3 linked regions of the Drosophila melanogaster genome follow. Changing the gene in region 1 together with any one later gene gives a genetic interaction. Each region holds a gene or a part of one and is shown on either strand. Other genes may lie near its edges. The genes, in order: Atg4a, Dcp-1 and Atg8a.

Region 1 (4,631 bases):
CCGATGAAAAATTTTCAGATGTCGAAGAAGGCGAGGATCAGGAGGAAGCTGATAACCAAGATGAGGAGCAGCAGGAAGAAAATCAAGACGTTGATTCGGGTGATGAAGAAGAAGAGGAGGCGGATGAAGGCCTCGAGCTGGAAGTGGAAGACAAAACGCTACTCTTCCCACAATGGTTTCTGGACAAACTATATCCCGCGCACCTGCCCCGCAGCTTCGTGGACCTTATGCACCTGCGCAAGTACATCAACAACCCACAGATCGAGCACTTTCCCTTCCACGACTCCAATGAAGTGGCCTTACCCATCCTGAACTACGTGTTCGCTCTTCTCCATCACGTAGAGTGTGAGAAAATTGAGCTACCATTAGAAGTGGATATGGATATAGAGGGTTCGACAGTCCCCTATCTCACCTACCTCACCAGAGCTCTGCGAGTGACGAACGTGAGGTATTTCAAGATGCCCATTGAAAAGAAGCCTGCCTATCCGTTTGATCCTCTTTCGCCGGATGCTAGGCATTTAAGAGCTGTATTCGAAGACAATGCTCCCAATGCGGATACGGAGAAGTTGTTCAGCAAGCTCGACCAGTTGCCGGAGGACCTGAGGCTGTACTTTCTGGCCATTATCTACTGGTTACATCGCTCGGAGCACTGTGATTTGCTGCATCTTCACTCGCTGATCCTTAGTTTGGTTGTCCTACGAACCATAGATGTTACAATCCCTGCTGAACGAGAGGTGAAAACCTTCCTTAAAAGATTTGGCAAGACATTGAAAGCAGAGCGAGCAGTGAGGGATAAGGAAGCTGCCGAGGGAATTAAGCGCGGCATCAAACCTGCTCTGCTAGAGCTTTCTGTTCCAGATCGGATGGCTCATGTACCCAAATCGGACTGCTATTTAACTCAGGAACGCCTACTGCCGCACTTCCATATGCAGGAGATCTTCAAAAAGAAGTTTGACTTGTACTCCACCACGGTTATCCACGCATTTGCTGAATTTCAGGCTGTGGTTTACCAACTCAATGGGCTAAATTCTCTTTTGGATTTTCCACTTTTGAGTCCGAGGATGAACCAGCTTTATTGCGGCGCCTTTCTCTACAACATGTATGATGTACTGAGGAATCGTGCCGATGTCCGCTACCATGTTGAGAACTTCCTGCTGCCCGACTCCAAGTTGATGTTCGATTTCTATTGCTACTTGTACGACTGGTGCGCGGAGTTTATACCAACTTGGAAGCGATTGGAGGTGGATCCGACGGCGGCAAAGGCCCTGCAGAAGAAGCGATTGAAGAAGCAGCGTCAGGCGGCTAGGAAAGTGGAGCTAAGGGAGGCCATCGCGGATCCCAATGCGGAAATGGTCGAGGATGCCGATCCAGAAAACGACTTCTTCGATCTGAACAACAAATTCTGCGCACTCAAGGTAGCGTAGCTAGTTTGAAGTCCCGCACGTGCAATTTTGAAGTTTTTACATTGTTACAAATCTATACTTTGCGTAAAATAAGAAAAAAATTAAATATTTTTTAAAAAACTTCATTTTTGAATGCATTTCATTAACAGTTTGGAAAAATACTGTTATTTCCTATGTTATGGTCATGTTAAGTGCAAGGTTCGGTATTTTGGCAAAGTAAAATACCTTATCAGTTGCGGTCATACTAACAGCTACGTCACTGCGTTGTAATCAACAAAAAAGAAAAATAAATCAAACTAAACCAGCCGCAGACTGATCAAATGCTGGTTATCGCATAGTTTGTAATCAGCGCCCGTCACTGCCAACAACAAATGAAACCCCTGTGACCTCGGGCCAGAAGCAGGAGCATTGCCGTTGCTGCCAGCGAAAACACAGGCCAAAACAAAGGCCCACCCGAAAAACAGAACGTCATTCGAAGGCAATTATCGTATAGACGAGCAGCGGAGGCCCTGGTGTCCACCCCCTTCTCCTTCTGCCAGCGCACCGGGCAGTAGATGCTGGTTGGACTCAGCGACCAGCTAGCGCGGATCATGGAGAGCGTCTTCGAGGCGTACTTGGGCCCAGACAGCGTCCTCGCTAGTGCAGTTGGCCAGGCGGTGGGCAGCGGAGAGCCGGAGGACATTCCCCGAAGAAACACCGACGTCTGGGTCCTGGGAAAGAAGTACAACGCCATACAGGGTAAGATGAGACCTTATTTAATGCTGTCATATGGGTACAAATCTAGCATATTGGTCAGCATGAGTCATAAGGGGTTTCCCAAACCTTTTTTCGATTATCATCGATGGATACCAAACTGAAATCCATAATCAACACCCTATCCCTTTTCAGAGCTAGAGCTCATCCGACGGGACATTCAGTCGCGCCTGTGGTGCACATATCGCCATGGATTTTCGCCGTTGGGAGAAGTCCAGCTCACCACGGACAAGGGCTGGGGCTGCATGCTGCGCTGTGGTCAGATGGTTCTCGCCCAGGCCCTGATCGACTTACATTTGGGACGCGACTGGTTCTGGACGCCGGACTGCCGTGATGCCACCTACCTCAAGATCGTGAACCGTTTTGAAGACGTAAGGAATAGCTTCTACTCCATACACCAGATTGCCCAGATGGGAGAGTCCCAGAACAAAGCGGTCGGCGAGTGGCTGGGACCGAATACAGTAGCCCAGATTCTCAAGTAAGACCATTGGCCTAACATGGTGGATAAGTGGTATAATCAATTGCTGATTTCAGAAAACTAGTGCGCTTCGATGACTGGAGCTCCCTGGCGATTCACGTGGCCATGGATAGCACAGTGGTATTGGATGACGTATGTAAGTGTGGAAAATGGCCTAAATAGCCCGACTATTTGCCTAACAACATTGTCCACTTTGTAGATGCGTCGTGCCGAGAAGGAGGCTCGTGGAAGCCACTGCTGCTCATAATCCCCCTGCGCCTGGGCATCACAGACATTAACCCGCTTTACGTGCCTGCCTTAAAGCGCTGCCTTGAACTAGACAGCAGTTGTGGCATGATCGGAGGTCGACCAAACCAGGCTCTGTACTTCCTGGGCTATGTGGACGATGAGGTTCTCTACCTAGATCCTCATACCACGCAGAGAACGGGCGCCGTGGCACAGAAAACTGCTGCGGCAGAACAGGACTACGACGAGACCTACCATCAAAAGCATGCTGCTCGCCTGAACTTCTCCGCCATGGACCCCTCGCTGGCGGTTTGTTTCCTCTGCAAGACCAGTGATAGTTTCGAGTCCCTGTTAACCAAGTTGAAGGAGGAGGTGCTCAGCCTCTGCTCGCCTGCGCTCTTCGAGATCAGTCAAACCCGCGCGGTCGATTGGGACACCACGGAGGACATCGACTGGCCCACCATGCCGGACATCGATTGGCCTGCGGGCACCTCGGATTCGGACTCTTTTGCCATAGTTGGTAAGTTGGTTCTGTTGAAGCTGACCATTAAGACCATTATTTATAACTTCACAGCTTGTAATCTGAATCAACAGTCCGAAATTTCACTCCGATTTCACTCAATAAATTCACTCCATTTTCCAGAAGAGAGCGGCAGGGACAGCGACGCCGGCTGTAGCGGCGCCATTGGCAGCGGCAAAAAGCCCAGTGAGAGAGCCGTCATTTGAGAGGTCGCCGGCGGAGCGCCTGCGCCTGCGCCGCACCAGAGCAGATGAAGCCCAGCCAGGCGAAAGTGGAGCACCCAATGAGGAGAAAGAGAGTGGGCCGGGAGGTCGAGCCCCTGCGGATGCTGCGAATGCAATAAACTAAGGCTAAAGTGCATAATTAGACGAGTGGTTGAGATTTAGATTTTAGTATGTTTACGATTTGTACGAATGCGGTTCTTAGCGATTCATAATGCTGCTTTATTGTACGCGATTGACTCCACGGGAGACAATTTGGCAAAACACACACACACAGAGCGACACTTACGGACACATACCGCTTTTTGATGATCAATTAAACATTTTTATGCAACGTTGTACATTGAAGACTCGATGAGATCGAGGCAATCGCCTTAGCCCGGTGTGTATTTATATGTTTGTAATCGTAATATTCATTTTCCTTTCGTATATTCGTCTGTATATGCTCAAAAATGGACCAACAACTAAATACATAATACTTGGACTATATGTATATATCTATATATGTATATATATATGTATGTATGTATATATCAACTTTGCCATCCGCCTCTGGACTCAACGGCTGGACAAACTCAAGCTACACGAACCAAGGAACTTTCTCGAATGAGTAACCAGGATGAGGATGCAGGAATCTACGTTAACAACAAACACGCGGCTACGCAGCTGGCGAATTGACACTAATTGGGCTTGACCTTTGGCCTTCCGGGCTGATTCCCGCAGAAAGGCAAACTGGGATTTGCAGATCAGAGTATCCAACTGTCTCCTACTATCGGAAGATAATCCTTTCTATTCATATTCAAGCGACTTATGTTTCTTGCGCTTCGAATGCATTTAACTTTTGCAATTCATCCATCCTAATTCTCGATATTCTGGTTAAATTCTATGTTGTATTCACTATAAAATTTTCTAATCTCAATTTGTTGGTTCAAAATCAAGCACTGGATATTTAAAGCTGATCGAAACGGACTAGCCTCTAGTAGGAAAGGTTTTTGAGCTACTATTTGAGTTCCTTGAACCTTAGATTCCTT
Region 2 (4,722 bases), on another chromosome or scaffold:
AAGTGCGACCAGGTTACAGCCCAATTAGTTGGCTAATCATTGGGCTTTCCCTTTTTCCTCTTGTGCAAAGAAAAATGAAAATTTCTGCGATTTGGGGCAACTGTACTGCGCCACACGCACACTAGTGCGTCAACAGCTGATCGCCCTGACAGCTGTCAGTTGTTTTTGGCGCTAAATTCAAATCGAGATCATATTTAAATGCATTAATAGTTCCTTCGATACTTATATTTACGCAAAAATCATCATTTGGTTAATTTTATTAATTTCCTAAATTATAAAATTAGGAAATAAATATAAAATTTAGGAAATTAATAAAATTAGAGTGAGAAAAATCTTAATTAATCACTCTTAATAATGCTAATTTGAATTCCACTAAAGTTTCGTACAATTTCACTGATTCAGCCAACCAAGTCTTCATTGTTATCTTTTATTTCCCATATCAACGTACTCAATCTGGCCCAGACAGCTCCTGTCTTCAAACAAAGTTGCTTAGATCGAAATTACCCATCTACGTTCAATTGGGGAGATACCTTGCTATGTTTTTAATTCATTTTTATTCATATCAAATATAAATGTTTGCGTGTACATAAAAGTATGTATGTATGTATAAATCTTCATTGTATTATCTTATCTCAAATTTGTGGGTTTTCTATTGGCAAGGTCTCGCTTATGCATACGGAAGTCATCTAGTGGGTAAATGGGTAACGAATTTCGTCAATGATAAGGCCGAAATGGGCATGGGAAAGGCAGGGGAATGAATGAAAGGGAGTCGGGTGCTTCAATATCCATCGGGATAATCGCACGCGTCAGCTAAAACTAAACTTGAAGTGAATTGGAATCCAACGTGAATGATTGCGGGCGATGGTTGTACAACCTCTGTTGAAAGTTCTTCTTCGAAGGGAGATCTCTTCCTAGCCAGCCTTATTGCCGTTCGGCTTGTCGCCGAAGCGCAGTATGCGCGTCAGCATGGAGGTGAGGCACGGTATTTGCTTCTGGCGATCCATCATCGGTGTGGCGGGCACGTTCGACTCAAAGTCTAGGGCTACGCGCTGGTTAACGAATGTAAGCAGGGTGAGCAGGTCGTACTTTTTGCCATTGGCGTTCAGCTCGCGGATCAGCGATTGCATGTACCAGGAGCCATTGTTGATGTTGCGCCAGGAGAAGTAGCCTAACAGGACGAGATTGCTAGTGAAATTCACTAAAATAGTTACCTAATCATATTCCTTACCCGGAATGGTCGAGTAGGAGAAGAGAAAGTCGGCGTGTATGGGTATCTTGTAGCTCGTCGAGGACTCCCCGTCCGTCTCGGTAACGCCCTTCTCCAGAGTGATGCCTCCGTCCAAGCGATCGCCCTGGCAGGCTTGGATGAAGAACAGCTTCGGCTTGCCCGCCAGCGAGGGGCAGAAGGTGGCAGTGAAGTAGTGCCAGATGTTGTCCAGCTTGTACTGCGTATCCTTGGCGTACAGGTAGCCGTGCTCCCCGTGCGAGAGTATGGCCACCGCAAGGCAGTCGTTGTCCGTGTGGTCCAACTCGGCGGCCTTCCCCACGTGCTTCAGGATGTCCCTCAACTTGCAGTCCTTGTGCACGGACACCGCGAATCCCAGGTTTTCAAAGGCCTTTTTCAGCTCTTGGGCATCGACATTTGTTCCGGTGCGGCTCTTCAGCGAGGGTATGTCGAAGAATTCGTGGTTGAAGATCAGCGCAACTCCGCGGTGCTTGTGACTCATGTTGTATTCGCTTGCATATCGTTCCACGGGCATTCGAGCCACAAACTTGTTGGCCGGCAAGGGGCTGGGGAAAAAGAAATCAGAATTATAATAGCCATTTGGGAAGCAGCATGATAAGATAAGGTAATCGGCGAAATAATCGATGATTGGGTATTTATTTATGTAATTATTTTCAAATATATTTGTGAATAAGACTAAATAGAACAATAGAATTAAAGTCAAGTGCTTTCAAACTTTGTGACTTCAGCCATTTTAACAACATTATAAAGACAGATTGACACATTGATTTTAAATGTTGGCAATAGACAGTATAAATAATATAAAAATAATAGATTGTGGAATGAAAATGGAATAAATAAAAAAAAAAGAGCTTTATATGCTGCATTTGAAACTAGGATATAGCAGTTATGCCAGTACTTGCATTGATAACAAAACACAGAAACATAAAGAGAGAGATGGGAGAGGGAGAGAGCGAGGCACATGGACTCACCTCGCTGCAGTTGCACCACCAACAACAAGAGACTCCGGCGTACAGCCCTTGGCATCGGTATTATCAGCCATTATAAAGCTGCCCCGATTTTCCGATCCATTTGGGCTGCGAATGCCTACTCCGTAGTTTCTGGTTACGCACTCGTCGGTCATCTTGCGCCCCTTTTCTTGCTTAAGTTCTTGTTTTGATTGTTTGCGTTTCTCCTTGTGTTTCCTCTTGCCTTTTGTTCGCTCCCTCCTGCTCCTCCCTCGCTCACGCGCTGCTCTTTCCTTCCTTTTCTCTCTCCGCAGTTGTTGCGCCCTTTTTGGTCTGATTCTTGTTTTATTCTGACACTGCTTCTGTTTTCTATTGCTCTGCGTTGGCCAAACTTTGCGCAGCGCAGCTGTTTTGCGCTTCTCAGCCAGCTTTTGTCGGCTTTCGATCGAGCGAATGTCCTTTTATGGCTCACAGTCGGACGTGTTTAATCAATCAATTAACGGAGGTTAAGCGTGCTCTGAGCGGCGAAAACAAACTGCGATTGCATGTAGTCGTGTGTATGCACTTGCCGCCAAGCGGCGATGGCCGCTCGTCGATAGCACTAATCATCGATTGGTGGCCATCGATTAATTTGTAGAGGGTGTTCTGGTCCTCGGCGCCTTTGTTTAAATTTAAACTCTAACATTATATTGTTCATTTTAAGGGAAAGAGACATTTATGGCGTTTAATTTATTATGTAGCGAAAAACATATAGGGGTGTTCCACGAATATTACCTTATTATTTGGCTTAAGCACGGACTTCCCCGAATAAATGTAGCTTCCTAGTCACTCACACATTTATCTAATCTAACATTAAAAACAGGTCTACGCCGGCGACGGAATGCCGGGGCACATCTGTCTGGAGTGCCGCCTCCTCTTCGAGCACTGCTACCGCTTCAAGCAGATGTGCAAGCGGGCGGAGACCCTCCTGCGCCAGTATCCGCTCACGGGTAACTGGCCATCGCCGCTGGAGAAGCCCCGTGCGCCCATGACGATGGTGGCTTCCAAGAAGTTGTTGGTCGTGCCAGCAAAGACAGCCGAGCCAAGCGAAACGCCCAAAAAGCTGCTGAACACAATGGCCAAATCCAGTAGTCAGGTGATCATCGAGGACGTCCAGGTGCTGGAGAGCGCCATGGTGACCCCCAGGACGGTAGCCGGTTCCTCTCCAGTGCCACGTCGTTCGCACGCCTATGAGCTGAAGGTGGATAACAACCAGGAGCTGTCCATGGACGATGTGCAGAGCATGCTGGAGGATATGGCCAGTGAGCTAGAGAAGGAGTTCCCCGATATCCCCCAGAAGGCATCACCCGTCAAGCCGAAGGTGCTGAACAAGTCCTCGATTAGGATCTTGAACAAGGGACCCGCCGCTCCGGTGGAACCGCGCCTGGCCACACCCAAAGTCAAGCGAGATGATAGTGGCAATGTGGCCATAGTGACAGAGGTTCTGGACTCGGATCTGCCATTGGACGATCAAGATGATCCGACCAAGAACGCCGAGAAGGTGGCCACCGATGTGTTCCCCTGTCCCGATTGCGAACGCTCCTTTCCGCTGCAGCAGCTGCTCGAGATCCATCGGCTGAATCACACTCGCTCGCGCAGCTTCCAGTGTCTCCTGTGCGAGAAGAGCTTCTTCTCCAAGTACGACCTGGCCAAGCACAACTTTGTGCACACCGGCGAGCGGCCATTCAAGTGCGCCATCTGCTCGAAAGCCTTCACACGGAAGGCATTGCTCCATCGCCACGAGCGCACCCACACGGACGTACCCAAGTTCATCTGCGTGTACTGCGAGAAGCCCTTCCTTTCGCGCCAGGAGATGGAGAAGCACGCCGAGCGACATCAGAAGAAGCGTCCGTTCCAATGCGGTGTCTGCACCAAGTCGTTTGCCTTCAAGCAGGGATTGGAGCGTCATGAGGTGGGTTGACAAGCATATTTGGGATTGCCCCGGCTAACGATTATGTCCACTTTCAGACAGTCCACTCCACCAATCTTCCCTTCCCCTGTCAGCATTGCGAGAGAAGCTTTTCCACCGCTTCCAAGCTGGCCCGCCACCTGGTTGCCCACGCCGGGAAGAGAGCCTATCCCTGCAAGTACTGCCACAAGTCCTACATGCTGTCGCATCATCTCTCGCGCCACCTGCGCACGCACACGCAGACTTCCGACGCCTCGTTCGTGTGCAGTGAGTGCAAGGTGTCGTACAGCAACTATAACGACCTACTGGATCATGCGCTCATTCATGCCACCGCCAGCCTGAAATGTCCCATGTGTCGCAAGCAGATCGAAGATATCGACAGTGTCGAGAGCCACATGGACCAGCACAAGCAGAGCGAGCGCCATGCCTGCGAGTTCTGTGACCACATCTTCTTGACGCAGAAATGCCTGCAGCGCCACATCGAGGACGATCATGTGGTGGAAATGGAGCCGTACCAGAACGAGTTCGAAGACGACGGCGAAGGAGAAGGCGGCGTCGATGAGAAGGAGGAACATCTTGAC
Region 3 (5,931 bases), on another chromosome or scaffold:
CGCTGCCCAATTGGTGGCAAGTATATCCCGAGTCCCAGTCGTAGCGCACATAATCGCCGTTGATAAGCGCGTTGCGGGTGCGACTCACGCCGTCCGTCACAATGGCGCTCATCTCTACGGTGGCCACGTTCGTCTTGGGCGCCACAAAATGGTTAACTAAACGCGGCACCTTGGCCGTGTGCATGGCTTCCAGACCCACAACATGGAATACCTATATATTAATGGAAAGGGAAAAAGTTAAAGAATGGGGAAAGTTTGAAGAGATCACTGCTGACTTACCCGGTTTACAGTGTTCTGGGTGCCCACCAGTCGAATGAATCTGACGGGTCGTGCTTCGAAGTATAAGTATTGCCAGGAGCGGCAGTGGTAGTCGCTGTAGTCGACCACGCGATCCCAATGCTGCTGGTCGCCGGACACCTCAACGTAGTAGGAGTACGCCCGGCTGTCTCTGTCCCAGAGCAGCATGCGAATGTGATTGATCATGCAGAACGTGCCCAATTCGACCACAATGCCCGCATCTTTGCTGTCCGTAATGCAGTGGCGCGTATACCCGTTCTCCATGTCATAGGTGGTCACATCTCCATCCAGCAGCGCGTCGCGACACTCTCCCTGGATGCAGCGCGACAAAAACGTCTCCGCGGCCACGTTTTCCTCCGGCCAGAGCGCCGCCCTGTAGGGCAGCGCCTTTGAAGTGCTGCGCTCGTCGATGGCGTCGAGAATCTTGTCGGGATCCAGGATGCCCGAGGGACGCACCACCTGCAGCAGATGCTCGAGGTTCATCAGTGGCAGGCGGACATAACTAACCACGGACTTGAAGTCCACGTTGCTATTGAAGCGGCTCCACTTCCACACGGCCAAAAAGATCTGCACCTCGGGGGCGAAGAAGCAGTCACGCCGTAGTACCTCCTCCAGCGATTCCTGTAAGCATTACATACTCTTAGTGCCAACTTTACCAATTGGTTGTGAACTTACCTTGGATAGCGTATTGAAGCTGTTGTGCAGCAGCAGGTCGCCGGCATTGCGATCCATGAACATTAGGCAAACCTCGGTGAGTTCCTCTAGATTGTATAGACGCGCCGCATCAAGAATCATGCAGACATTGTCCAAGGCCAGATACTGGCGTAAATAATTCGATATGGCCATCTCCAGATCCTGGAAACCATACTGATTGGCCATGCCCAGCACATCGATGGTGGAATCCTCGTCCAATGTGGACAGCAGCAGTGTGCCCGAGTAAATGTAGCGCAGCAGCACCTTGAACGCTTCCAGCGGCACCTCAAGCGGTATTTGGCGCTGTGTGGTCTCCGCCATGCCGCCGTACAGCAGCGCCCGGAAGTATTCGCTGCGTGCCGCGAGTATGACGCGGTGGGCGGGTATGCGCTCCTCCTCGACGATGAACTCCACGTCCGCGTACTGTTCGTTCATGCAGAGGCGCGCCATGTCCGCTGAGAAGCGATCGCCCAGATCGACCACGTCGGTGTAGTCCTGCTCCATGGCGCCCTTCTTGCCGCCGCCGGACATCTTATGGTGTCCCTGGCTGCTCATCCTTCTCTTTTTTGTTTTTCTTCCGTGCGATGTGTATTTATGTGTGTAAGCAGCCAGAGGGAACAGTTGACAATTAACGTTTCGTCTCGCCTGCTGCGTCAATCCATCGATGACAGTTAGTGATATCGATAATATCGATGGCACAATAGGGATTCTTCTATTGCGGCGAAAAACTGTTATATGTGCAGTGTGACCGTAGGTGTGTATACCATTTAACGCGTACAACAACCATATCGACAGCCGTCTGCTAGCGAGCACATGAACCACATGGTTGCATCCGATAACATTTAGCGAATACATGAACCAAATGGTGTCTGTCTAATATGCCACCACTATTAGCGCGTTTCGGGTTGGTGTCTCTGCGCGCTCACTGGTCACACACGGTCAGTCTAGCCACAGCAGTTAGCGAGTGCAGTCACCACAGTGCGAGTGCTTATCGATAAAACCAGCAAGTCATCGATTTTTAGACCGAAGCGCTCTGTCAACTGCTGCGCACGGTCACTCTACACAAGTATTTCGTACCGTTTGTACGAGAAAACAGAGAAGAGAAAAACACAAGCTCAGCAACGCATCGATATTCGGCACAGTCCCAAAAGCAAACGAAGTGATAGAAGCTGCGTTTCTTAGCCAATTACCTCTTCATTGCAATCATGAAGTTCCAATACAAGGAGGAGCACGCCTTCGAGAAGCGTCGCGCCGAGGGCGACAAGATCCGTCGCAAATATCCAGACCGTGTGCCCGTAAGTACTCAAAAATATATATATAAATGCATATAGGTATAAAGAGACGTGTGTGTGTGTGTATATATGCGTGCGAGTGTGTGTGTATGTGCGAGCTTCTGTGTATGCGTTTGTTTTGCGTCGTTTTTTTTCTCGCTCTTTTTTTTTGTGTTTGCACCGAAGAAAATCAATACTGCGCATATTGGGTATTTCGATTGTTATTACAATATTATTGCACTGGCACATCAGGTGGCTGGGGAAATTTGTGCGATGGGTATTGCATAAAGTGCATTTTGCATTACTGGTGGGGGGAACAGGCGACAAGCTCTCAAAAGAAATTCAAACGAAAATTCTGCCCCCTGCATACACACATACGCACGCATACACGCGCACACAGGCACACAGATGTCGACAGGAAAAAACAAAAGCAAAAAAAGGGAGAGAACAAAGCAGCCGTTTCACTTGCTCAGCTGTTGTGATGTTGTTGTTTTCAGTGCTAGATTTCATCTGTGCCACCTCTTCCTCTCCTCTATCCCACCCTCTGGCTACACAGCAAGAAAATCGCATATATCTATCTGTCATCATAATTTAGTTACAAGCAAAGTTTTGACCACCCCGTTTTTTTTCTGTGTGTGCACCAACCAGTTGTTTTCGATTTTAATTTCGTTTGTTTGTTGGCAAAACGAGCGAGTACTGCGCATAAAAAAAGTCACTAATACTCACTAATACACACTTATACTAGCGCTGCTTGTTTTGTTTTTCGCAAATACACAAAGTGCGACTGGAATTAGTCATAGATGCGCTGCTGAACACAAAACAAAAATAATAAAAAAAATGGAAAACAGAAAGGTTGAAAAAAACAAAAACATCTTCTGCTTCTTCTTTGTTGTTTTTCTGCTATGTATGTATGCATTTCACCACGTTATCAGCGAAAACTCCTTTCACAAAAACCAAAACAAAACCAAACGAAACGAAACGACAAACTGCTGAAGGTGCCCCAATCGCAGCGAAAAGTGCAGTTCTTGTTTTCGATTTTGATTCGGACTGCATATGCATATGTATATATGTACAAATATGTACATATGTGCGCTATATATGCACCCCCGAAATATTATTGCCAGTGTTATTTTAGTGTTTTTTTTTTTTGGCAAGTGCAGCAGTGCCAAATCACAAATCACATAACAGCTGAGCGAGGGGCAAGGCCAGCTGGTCGCTCGGACCACCAGCATATCCATATATATCCGAATTCTATAGAATATACTTAGTACATACATACGTACTAGCACATCTCATACTTGTGCCTTGAGTTCGGCCAATGACGATAACGAATTTCGATAGAACACTAGTGTATAGAGGGGTGGCATTCGCGACAAGCAGTTTTTGCCCATTTCGTATTCACTATGTTGGCACCCGCTTCCTGTTCCAAAAAAAAAAAATTGGACAAACCAGTTTGCCAATAATTTGGCTAAGGCTAACTAATGAGCCCCTGGCTAGAACGGATCGTCTAGTCTAGGCCAGCTAGCAATTATTCCAGAGCCAAGGAAATGCAGTAGATTCGTTACAAAGCTCACTTCAATGACCAACTTGGTCGTCTTGGTGATCAATTTGGCTAAAATGCTGTAAAATGTGTATGTGTTTTTGCATAATGAACAAAAAAAAACAGATGATACAGGTGAACTTGAATGTAAACAGGTGCTAGAAATCTTAATTATATTACAAAACATATACCCCTTGAAAAATGCATTGAATTTGGCTTAAAAATAATATGTGAACAAAAACACACGTGTGTGTAATTACACATTCCAACTTACGAAATTCCAAAATGCATTACGAAATTACTGACTGAAATTACGAAATTACTCATTTTCCTGTCTAAATATAATATGAGTCAGGCCAATAACAATCAGGTATAGTTGTTCGTAAACAAATTAGTTTTCAATTAATATTAAGGTATTTTGTACACTAGATAGCAAGCATCAGAATTCATAAGACTATAGTTTATGTTTTCGGCATTATCATATTCCAAGGTAGCACGTATTCGAGCACACTTGCTTCCAGCAATGCAAATGCCATTTGTAGCCAAATATGTGAGCCTTATTGGGCACGTAATCAGGTGCGAAATGTGCGCACATTAACATGCACAAGTAGCCCGCAACAACAACTCACCTCCTGTATTTCTTCTTCTATTTAAACCCAAAGGTCATCGTCGAGAAGGCTCCCAAGGCGCGCATCGGTGATTTGGACAAGAAGAAGTACCTGGTGCCTTCCGACCTGACCGTCGGTCAGTTCTACTTCCTCATTCGCAAGCGCATCCACCTGCGTCCCGAGGATGCCCTCTTCTTCTTTGTGAACAACGTCATTCCACCAACATCGGCTACCATGGGCTCCCTGTACCAGGTAATTACCACAATGCCCATTATTATTAGCCTTGCAATCGAATCACATACGTTCGATGTATTTTTATAGGAACATCACGAGGAGGACTATTTCCTGTACATTGCCTACTCCGATGAGAATGTTTACGGCATGGCCAAAATTAACTAACTTTGCTCCGGTCGGGATGCATCGGAATGAAGCCCCCCCCCTATACAGAAATCTATATATAAATAAAATATATTTTGTGTTTAGCATGCAAGCTTACAATATGGACGGCGAGTTAGCTAAACGAATTGAGGAAAACCGCAGGAAATGCCACATGAAAAGAACTTGAAATTGATCTGATACGCAGGGCAACAAAAAAAATCCACAAAAACCGAAAACTACAAAAACAATTGTTATGTGAACATTATTTTATATATATACATTTTCCAAACGCGTTAGTATTTCAATTAAACTCTGCTTTGTGTCCTACCCATTAACGAAACAACCAACCAACCAACTTTCCCCACAAAAAACAGATCTATTCACACCCTTTCTGGGCCATTTAATTTCCATTGCTGTAATTGATCCGTGCGAATGCTTTGTACTTTACTTTGTTACTTTGCTAATATTTCAATGAATTCACTATTTTTTTTTTTATTCACGATGCAACAAAATTCTGTGCATATTTAGTGTGTATGGTTACGAATAGGACTCTCTCGGTTAAGTGTACGGTAATTAATCTATTATTAAATAAACAAAAACCACAAAAATACACATGCAAAGGGTGTTTGTTTATTTGGATTGTTCTTCGTTTTCAGTTTGCAATCACGTATATCACGCTTAGATGATTCAGCGATAAGTGACAGGAAGAAGTTATTTTATACTGCTTTTTCTTTTGTTCACCGAACAATGAGTCCTTATCTTTTAAAAATGAAATGAGCTTTAGCAATGAGTGGGTGTTTTTTTTTATTCTTTGCTATTAGTAACAAAAGCATTTATTTATTTTAAATTGAAGGCGTAAAAGGTAGTACTTATGATACCATTCGCAACGCAAAAGTTTAAGTGTGCAAATTAAATTGAAAAGAAATCACTTTGTTTATTGTTTGCTTATCTTATCGCAGCAAAGGCACTTTGCTAGCCATTCAAAATTGCCGCCCACAAACGTTTTTATGGGCAGCACTGTCATCAAAACACAGCTGGTCACACCATCAAGTGCTGCAAAGCAATATCTCAAGTCAGCCATAAGGAGAGCATGTGCTAAAAAGGGACAGCTCCACACAATAAGTACGATTAAATTGCGATATAT

Evidence for each region.
Region 2: of Atg4a (region 1) and Dcp-1, changing one suppresses a phenotype caused by changing the other (phenotypic suppression), as found in Drosophila melanogaster (one study listed by BioGRID).
Region 3: of Atg4a (region 1) and Atg8a, changing one suppresses a phenotype caused by changing the other (phenotypic suppression), as found in Drosophila melanogaster (one study listed by BioGRID).

The regions. Positions count from the first base shown.
Region 1 is NT_033779.5:1,079,287-1,083,917, forward strand, and holds Atg4a (Autophagy-related 4a), read left to right. Parts: upstream 1-1,624; 5' UTR 1,625-1,957; coding exon 1,958-2,141; intron 2,142-2,291; coding exon 2,292-2,634; intron 2,635-2,690; coding exon 2,691-2,770; intron 2,771-2,833; coding exon 2,834-3,379; intron 3,380-3,502; coding exon 3,503-3,585; 3' UTR 3,586-4,092; downstream 4,093-4,631. Other genes in the region: ast (asteroid), read left to right, coding at 1-1,424.
Region 2 is NT_033778.4:23,549,370-23,554,091, reverse strand, and holds Dcp-1 (death caspase-1), read right to left. Parts: upstream 2,780-4,722; 5' UTR 2,370-2,779; coding exon 2,218-2,369; intron 1,792-2,217; coding exon 1,229-1,791; intron 1,169-1,228; coding exon 912-1,168; 3' UTR 545-911; downstream 1-544. Other genes in the region: pita, read left to right, coding at 3,056-4,144, 4,201-4,722. UniProt on the Drosophila melanogaster protein: Involved in the activation cascade of caspases responsible for apoptosis execution. Proteolytically cleaves poly(ADP-ribose) polymerase (PARP). Loss of zygotic DCP-1 function causes larval lethality and melanotic tumors.
Region 3 is NC_004354.4:10,764,335-10,770,265, reverse strand, and holds Atg8a (Autophagy-related 8a), read left to right. Parts: upstream 1-1,927; 5' UTR 1,928-2,195; coding exon 2,196-2,285; intron 2,286-2,959; exon of another isoform or gene 2,960-3,098; coding exon of another isoform or gene 3,099-3,113; intron 3,114-3,609; exon of another isoform or gene 3,610-3,888; coding exon of another isoform or gene 3,889-3,936; intron 3,937-4,463; coding exon 4,464-4,661; intron 4,662-4,730; coding exon 4,731-4,808; 3' UTR 4,809-5,388; downstream 5,389-5,931. Other genes in the region: BTBD9 (BTB (POZ) domain containing 9), read right to left, coding at 1-211, 280-918, 973-1,545.